Callithrix jacchus: one gene and its partners. The protein of the gene in region 1 purifies or fractionates together with the protein of each later gene. This does not show direct contact. Links are inferred from orthologs where the notes say so. Each region holds a gene or a part of one and is shown in the gene's direction. Other genes may lie near its edges.

Evidence for each region.
Region 2: the proteins of KDM5A (region 1) and GATAD1 purify together in Homo sapiens (affinity purification with mass spectrometry; 6 studies listed by BioGRID and IntAct, with this or other methods). This does not show direct contact. The link is inferred for Callithrix jacchus from reciprocal best matches to the Homo sapiens genes KDM5A and GATAD1.
Region 3: the proteins of KDM5A (region 1) and PHF12 purify together in Homo sapiens (affinity purification with mass spectrometry; 3 studies listed by BioGRID and IntAct, with this or other methods). This does not show direct contact. The link is inferred for Callithrix jacchus from reciprocal best matches to the Homo sapiens genes KDM5A and PHF12.

Annotation. Positions count from the first base shown.
Region 1 is NC_133510.1:13,559,803-13,563,377, reverse strand, and holds part of KDM5A (lysine-specific demethylase 5A), read left to right. Parts: intron 1-524; coding exon 525-602; intron 603-2,646; coding exon 2,647-2,769; intron 2,770-3,575. UniProt on the Homo sapiens protein: Histone demethylase that specifically demethylates 'Lys-4' of histone H3, thereby playing a central role in histone code. Does not demethylate histone H3 'Lys-9', H3 'Lys-27', H3 'Lys-36', H3 'Lys-79' or H4 'Lys-20'.
Region 2 is NC_133512.1:57,164,712-57,167,150, reverse strand, and holds part of GATAD1 (GATA zinc finger domain-containing protein 1), read left to right. Parts: intron 1-1,712; coding exon 1,713-1,896; intron 1,897-2,439. UniProt on the Homo sapiens protein: Component of some chromatin complex recruited to chromatin sites methylated 'Lys-4' of histone H3 (H3K4me), with a preference for trimethylated form (H3K4me3).
Region 3 is NC_133506.1:104,706,676-104,709,317, forward strand, and holds the end of PHF12 (PHD finger protein 12), read left to right. Parts: intron 1-354; coding exon 355-493; intron 494-831; coding exon 832-1,166; 3' UTR 1,167-2,094; downstream 2,095-2,642.

The DNA of each region.
Region 1 (3,575 bases):
GGAATAAGTGTAAGGAAATAATTGTTTATTGGTAGCTTGTAAATGCAGAGTCAGAAATTATGGTGATGCCAGACAACTACAGATTGTCCACACAGGTGGCTGAGATAGTGACACCTTTCCTTTCTCATGGTCCAGTGTACACATGCATTATGCACCAGATTATTAACAATATTGTATAAAATTTCCTTTAGGCTACATGTATAACTTTATGTGAAATAAAAGAATTTTGTATTTAGACTTGGGTCTCATCTCCAATATATCTCATTATGTATATGCAGATACTCCAAAATATGGAAAGTGAAATCCAAAACACTTCTCATCCCAAGCATTTCGTGTAAGGGATACTCAACCTGTATTAAAATTATTTTATCTAAAAAATTTGCTCATTTTGTTTCTGTAATAAAGAAGACTTATAAGTTAGTCTATTATCACCATGATTTGTGGCAAAAACCCCCTTTAAGGGAATAAATAACCTATTCTTTGCTTACATACCACTGTGTTTTGAAAAAACACTTTCTATTTAGGACTGGCAGCCTCCATTCGCCTGTGAAGTAAAAAGCTTTCGTTTCACTCCAAGAGTCCAGCGCCTGAATGAACTTGAGGTAAGTGTTGTGTCACCATTTCTTCTTCCTGATTTATTCTTTATTGTTAGGGCTGTAGGTAGAGAACTTTGCATAGCCTAGAGTTTGTGTTAATTGGTACTGACTGGAATAGTTACTTGATGTTTGGAGGAAGAGTATGCTTTTTAAAAAAATTGTGCAAAGCAGTTACGGTTTTTCCATTTAACTGAGATCACGAGAAACTATCTGTAGCTCTGTTTTTCTAGTGGAAATATTCAATGCTTAGCTTCAGAGACTTAGAATTCCTAAATTCTACTTTCTCTATTGTTTCTTACTCTGCTAAAATTTTTGTAAATCTTGGAAGATTCTGTCTTCCTTGGTTCTTGGAAAATGGATTTTTAAATCCTGTTTTAAAATCCTAGTTTTCAAAGTTTTTTTCTTTTGTTTTGGTTTCGATTTTAATGGAACTTTGTCAGGACTGTTAATCTGATTTATTAAGATCTTCCTTTGGCCGGGTGCAGTGGCTCACACCTGTAATCCCAGCACTTTGGAACGCCAAGGTGGGTGGATCACAAGGTCAAGAGTTCGAGACCAGCCTGGCCAAAATGGTGAGACCCCTGTCTCTACTAAAAATACAAAAATTAGCTGGGTGTGGTGGTGGGCCCCTGTAGTCCCAGCTACTTGGGAGGCTGAGGCAGGAGAATTGCTTGAACCCAGGAGGTGGAGGTTGCAGTGTGCTGAGATCGTGCCATTGCACTCAGCTGAGCAACAGAGTGAGACTCCGTTTCACACACACTTAAAGATCTTCCTCTAAGTATTACTGATTTATCTTACGTTTTCTAAATAGAAGACTATGTGTTGCTGTTTTTCTTGTCTGCTGATTTTTAGAAGGTTCTTCATTATGATATTAAAACTTTTAGAGTACAGAAGGAAAATCATTGATAGCAAAGGTTTATTATGTCATTCTGAGTTTTTTTTTCTTTTCCCTCAAAACATTTCTGAGAGTTTACTACATAGTTTTTTTTTTTTTTTTTTTTTGAGACAGAGTATTGCTTTGTTACCCAGATGAGACTGTAGTGGTGTGATCTTGGCTCATGCAACCTCTACCTCCCAGGTTCAAACGATTCTCCTGCCTCAGCCTCCCTAGTAGCTAGTTTTACAGTAGCTGGGATTATAGCCAGCATGCCCGGCTAATTTTTGTATTTTTAGTAGAAACGGAGTTATGCCATTTTGGCCAGGCTGGTCTGGAACTCCAGACCTCAGGTGATCCGCCCGCCTCAGCCTCCCAAAGTGCTGGGATTCTAGGTGTGAGCCACCGTGCCTGGCTGCAATACGTATTTTTTCTTTTTAGTCTCTTGTAATTAGATACTTGATGAAGCATCTCAATATAAGTGAGGTTGAGGGTTGACGCACCAAAAGTGTGCATATTTACCTGTGGATGAAATGACAGAATGTTAGACAGTGAGGAGGATCCGATTTACTGAATTTTCTGGTCAGCATAAAGTTGAACAAACTTAAAAAAATTGTTTTGGTTGCCAGTGTAACTTTTAAAATAAATCAGAGTAACTTTTTTTCCTGAATGAATAAAGTTTGTTAGAAGTCTTTTGCATCTTTATTATTGGCTGGTTTTACAGGGTTGGACTAAGCAATAATGAAAAGTCTTTGAATTTCTTGAAAGAAGTGAGTTCCTCTATTACAGCAGTCCCCAGCGGTTTTGGCACCAGGGACTGGTTTCACGGAAGACAGTTTATCCATGGATGGATGGGAGTATGGGGGATGGTTTTGGGATGAAACTGTTCCATCTCAGGTCATCAGACATTTGTTAGATTCTCATAGGCGTGCACAACCTAAATCCCTTGCATATGCAGTTCATAGTAGGGTTTGTGGGAATTCTTGCCTGCTCGCCTGCCCGCTGCTGCTGCTCACCTGCCCGCTGCTGCTGCTCACCTCCTGCTGTGCGGCTGGGTTCCTAACAGGCCACTGATGGGTACCAGTCCACAGCCTGGGGTTTGGGGACCCCTGCTCTGTTATACTCATTCCTTTCAATCATAACTTAGTTCTTATTTCTGTATTTTAATAATTTTAGGCAATGACCAGAGTGAGACTGGATTTCTTGGATCAACTAGCAAAATTTTGGGAACTTCAAGGATCTACTCTGAAGATCCCTGTGGTAGAGAGAAAAATCCTGGATCTGTATGCTTTGAGCAAGGTGAGGCTTATGCTGGTTTAGAAATTAGAGCAGAGGCTTGTGAATTTAGGAATTTAAAATGAATTTGGTGGGAAACATTGCTTCCAATGGAGGATTTGTTTGATAGATGCCCTAGCTGGGCATGGTGGCATGTGCCTATAGTCCCAGCTACTCAGAAGGCTGAGGCAGGAGAATTGCTTGAACCTGGGAGGCAGAGGTTGAGGTGAGCTGAGATCGCGCCATTGCCCTCCAGCCTGGGCAATAAAAGTGAAACTCCATTTCCAAAAAAAAATGAAATGCACATTTGAATAAATGGAAATGACAGACCTCAAAGTTATCTTTAAAAGTTACTGTATATTTGTTAATGAGACTGATATTTATCAGGCTCTGTGATACGCAATATGCAAAATAAATGACTATCGCCTGCTAATATTATATTGTACTGCATATACAATGTTCTGTGTTGATCTTGTCATCTTTTTTTGTTGTTGTTGTTACTTAATTGAAAATTTGGGCCAGGCACAGTGGCTCACGCCTGTCAACTGAGCACTTTAGGAGGTTGTGGTGGGAGGATCACTTGAGCCTAGGAGTTGAGAGACTAGCCTGGCAACATGGCAAAACCCTGACTCTGCTAAAAATATGAAAAAGTTAACTGGGCATCGTGGTGCACACCTGTAGTCTCAACCACTCAGGAGACTAAGGTGGGAGGATCACGTGAGTCCGGAAAGTCAAGGCTGCAGTGAGCTGTGATTATGCCGCTGCACTCCAGCCTGGCGCCTGGTGACGGAGTGCGACTCTGTCTCAAAAAAAAAAATGGACTCATGTTA
Region 2 (2,439 bases), on another chromosome or scaffold:
CCTCCCAAGTAGCTGGGACTACAGGCATCCACCATCATGCCTGGCTAAGTTTTTGTATTTTTAGTAGAGACGGTGTTTCACCATGTTGGCCAGGCTGATCTCCAACTCCTGACCTTGTGATTTGCCCGCCTTAGCCTCCCAAAGTGCTGGATGTGAGCCACGGTGCCCAGCCTGACTTTCTCTTTATCTCTTTTTAACTTTATTTTTTTGAAAAACCCAGTAGACCTTTTGCGGGGAGCATTTTTGTTGATTATTTTACTGATCTAAAGCTGAGTGATTTTTTTTAAAAGAGTTTGAATTTGGCTTCCTTACCAGTAATATATTTCCTTGCTTCTTTGATGTGATGGTTTTGAGATGTATGAGAATCTAATAGATTTGTGGTTGAATTTGCTTTGTTGTTATGAAGTCCATCCTGTGGGCAACATACTGTTGGTAGGAATTGTTCAAGCTATTCTGGAGATTATTTGGTAAAGTATACTAAAAGCTTTAAAACCATGTATGTGCACTGTTTGAACCAGTAAGCCACTTCTTTGATATTAGAAGACTTAGAAGAAATAATCAGCCTTGCATAAAACTTATGGATGAAAGTATTCATCACAATATTATTTACAATAAAAAATTGTAAATGTTATAAATGAACATTTGGAAAATGGTTAAAGAAGTGATGGCACATTGTGTGGTAGAATATTATGCATATGTTTAAAGAATCATATTTTCTAAGATTACTTGGAAACATGTTTGGTAATGTCAAGTGGGGCATCCCAGACATTTATTTTAGAAATTTATCATCATAATTTTAGACTTTTATCATCATCATTGTTGTGAGTGGAAGGCCGTTCAGAGAGGCTAGAGGTTCTTATTCTGGCTATAAATTATGTGAGTAAAATTCTGCTAGCCAATTAAAAATGTGCACCCATGTTCAATCTATCATCCTGGAAATAGCAATTGAAACACGTCTTCTCACAAGAGAAAAATGACAGTTTTAATGATGCATTATATGAATTTAAACTTTAAGTCAGGTGCTGCAAATTGGAAAGGAGACTTGTGGTGTTTTAAATTTCTGTGGACCCTTAAGAAACTTGGAACCCATGAAACCACTGTTTATTGCCATGCAAATTACAATCTTGAATGAGTGTTTTTTTTTAAATAAAGTATTAGAAAACGTGTAATAAAGATGTAAAATTGAAAAATGAAATTCTGCATTAACTGTGAATTTTACTAAATAGAACTATAGGTGAAGCAAATTTATCCATTGAGACTATTTGGTATGTGTTATGCTTGTATTCTGTTCGTGCTGGAAGATGTCTGTGCCTGTATCAGCGTGTGACTACATGTAAAGTTTCTTCATGTTCACAGTTCTTAGCAAATGCAGTTTCAATCCATAGATAGCTAGTAGTGGATGTTACTACAGGAAAATGCAGGATTAAAATTGTCCTTATGTAAAAAAAAAAAAAAAATCAGAGTACTCTATGAACAAATGTTTTCTCTAGATGTAAACTGTCGTACATGCACCCTCATGTGTGTATGTATAATTTTCATTCAAAAGTGAAACATCTTTAGAATTGGCACCAAACATATAAACATTTATCCATTAGACTACCTTGAACACCTTTCATTGACCACTTTGAAAACTTGCTTACCTATTAAGGTTCATTCATAGCTGTGGTGTTCTATTTTTATTTTCAATGTGGGATTATCTTTCTTTTTCCCAGGGAGTATATTATCAAATTGGTGATGTTGTTTCTGTGATTGATGAACAAGATGGAAAGCCCTACTATGCTCAGATCAGAGGCTTTATCCAGGACCAGTATTGTGAGAAGAGTGCAGCACTGACCTGGCTCATTCCCACTCTCTCCAGCCCCAGAGACCAATTTGATCCTGCCTCCTATATCATAGGTGAGTTTGACAAATAGTACAGGTTCTTTAACTTAGTTAACTCTCCAATATTACGTAAAGGAGTATGTTAGTCAGCTTGGGCTGTCATGACAAAATACCACAGACTGAGTGGCTTAAACAACAGAAAGTCACTTTCTCACAGTTCTGGAGGCTGAAGTCCAACATCAAGGTATTGGCAACAAGGGTTTCTGGGAAGGCTTTTCTTCCTGGCTTGTAGATGGCCACCTTCTTGCTGTGTCCTCATGTGGCCTTTCCTCTGTGTGCACACATGGAGGGAGAACTCTTTGATGTCTCTTCTTATAAGGACACCAGTTCTATCAGATGAGGGCCCCACCCTTGTGGTTTCATTTAACCTTAATTGCCTCCCTAAAGGTCTCATCTCCAAATACCATCACATTGGGGATTCAGCATATGAATTTAGAGAGTGGTGGGGGAATGCAATTCAGCCCATGACAGAAAAAGCTTAAGTGTTATTACGTACAAAAAAATTAGAGGGCTTTATAGAAAATATGAGGCATTTTAGGGGAGTTTGAGTGCTATCAG
Region 3 (2,642 bases), on another chromosome or scaffold:
GAGCCTACCCTAAAGCAGGGGAGGGGACCAGCGTAGAAGGAAGCCAAGCCCTGTGGGTGTGTCACTGTGAATTTCATTATCATCAGGGACCAATGAATATCATACAAGAGGAGCCAGTGCTGAGAGGGCAGAGTGAAGGAGCAGTGGGAGAGTAGGGAGTGTAGAATGCCAGAAGGAAGGCTTCCCTGAGGAGGTGTCTTCAGTCCTATTCTGAAAGGACAGGGGCCATGACTGGGGAGATAAGTAAGGTCTCACTAGGTAGAGTAGCACAGCCTTCTCCATACGTCCTCTCTCCCCTTAGCCCCAGGCCCCACACAGCAGACCACACATCTTATCTCCCCTCCTCCTCCTCAGAATACCAAACATTATGAGCTGTTAAACTACAGTGAGCATGGGACAACGGTGGACAATGTGCTGTATTCATGTGACTTCTCCGAGAAGACCCCGCCAACCCCCCCAAGCAGTATTGTTGCCAAAGTGCAGAGTGTCATCAGTAAGTTGGAGCAGAGGTCTGTGGCCACAAAGCTGAGGCCCCAGTCAGGGTGGTTCTGACTTGCTGCCCATGGTCTGTCTCTTGCCTTCCCAGTCCTAATGGCCAAGCTCTCCTTCCTTGTGGGCCCCGGGCAGACCACAGAGAAATAAGTGCTGAGTACCCTCGTGTGTGTACACACCTGTGGGGCCTTCAGACTCCACCAACCCTTTCGGAGCATCCCGTACCCTTAGTCATGTAGCAGTTGGAATGGGGAGATGCAGGATCCCAACCTTGGCAAACAGTCCAGATGGGTTGGCTGCTCACCGTTCCTCTTCTGTGACCATCCCCCTTTTTCTCAGGGCGCCGCCGGCACCAGAAACAGGATGAAGAGCCAAGTGAGGAGGCAGCCATAATGAGTTCCCAGGCCCAGGGGCCGCAGCGGAGACCCTGCAATTGCAAAGCCAGCAGCTCGAGCTTGATTGGGGGCAGTGGGGCCGGCTGGGAGGGCACGGCCTTACTGCACCATGGCAGCTACATCAAGCTGGGCTGCCTGCAGTTTGTCTTCAGCATCACTGAGTTTGCGACCAAACAGCCCAAAGGGGATGCCAGCCTGCTGCAGGATGGGGTCTTGGCCGAGAAGCTCTCTCTCAAGCCCCACCAGGGCCCTGTGCTGCGCTCCAACTCTGTTCCCTAGGACTGGCGGCTGCCCCGCCACTGGCCTGTACACCCAAGACTCCTGCAATGCAAAAATGTACACAAATCAAGCCCGGGTGTTTTCTATACTCTACCAGAAACCCTTCAACCACAATCTTTGCATGAAATGAAGAAAACCTTTTGACTGTTTTTTAAAAATCCTTTTTCTTTTCTCAAGTTCTAGGGGGCATTTGCACATATATTTGTACTCAACATTTCGTGGGAAAGCGGCAGACCCGAGCTGAGGAACAGCGTGGGCAGGGAGGGAAAGACCCATGGTCTGGACACTTCCTCCAACACAAAATCCTTCCCCACCCACCTCCTGCTCCCTCCCCCTCGCCCGCCGTTGTAAAATAATCAGAAACTTGTTCTATTTTGTGGCAGTGACAATAGTTTTATATTAAAAGAAATACAGTTTTCATACAGCAAAATCTATACAATATCATTGTTTTATTTAATATAAAGATCGCTACCCACTTTCCTTCCATGGTTCCCATCCTCCAAGTTATTTTTTCCCCTTCTGCAGCGGTTGCACTACAGGTAGCTACTGTGTATTATGGACAAATGAGAAATGAATTCTTTTTCTGGCTGTCCATCTATTTTATTTCAAATAAGGAAAAGTGTATTTGGATTTTGTGTAAATACATCTAGTGATGACATTTTTTCAATGTTTTTAAAAACCGTGTACAGTACTACATGTGGTAGAGCGTTTTCTCAAATTGTCTATTGTAGCAAAAATGTTTTTGTCGTAAACCTGTTTCGTCTCCTTTTTTTGTTCTCTTGCCACTTCTCTCCTCTTCCTCCTGCCCCTGATACCCTCCTCTCCTCCCACCCCCACAACTAGTACCAATGTACATAGTAATTGTAATGTTTTAGACTTTACAGAAACTTTCCTGTATTCTGTATATAAAAAACAAAAATAATTCAAATTATGTTTTCTGACTGTCTGTCCTACCTGTCATCACCCTTAGAGGAGACCCTCCCTTAGATCTGGGTCCAGCAGGTGAGGGACCTTTTGGACGGGTCTCATTTCCATAGCGAAGTTTGGGAGGGGAGATGTTGGAGAAAAGCAGGTCAGGGTGGGTGTAGGACAATGGAAGGACATGGGTGCATCTGCTGGCCGGGGGACTTTTTCCAGAGAACCCTGACTGATAGTAGAATCCAGTCTTGACCCACTTCCAGTCATGTGATTCGCAGTCACACCTCTCTACAACTGCTATTCCTCATCAGAAAACGAGTCTGCTGCATTAACTTAATTATCAAGTCCCGGGATGCTCATTAAACCAAATACCGTGCTTTCGTCCCAGATCTTAGGAACTTTCTCCAGGAAATTTTCCTGAAGAGAGCACCTTTGTGTACATTCCAGCAGTGTCTGTGTAGATGCACCTGCTTGCATATCAGGATTTTGCCTTAGGGATAGAGAATGAATATTCTATCCCCAGCCTCATCCTCAGCATCTACAGTGGAAACCATCCAC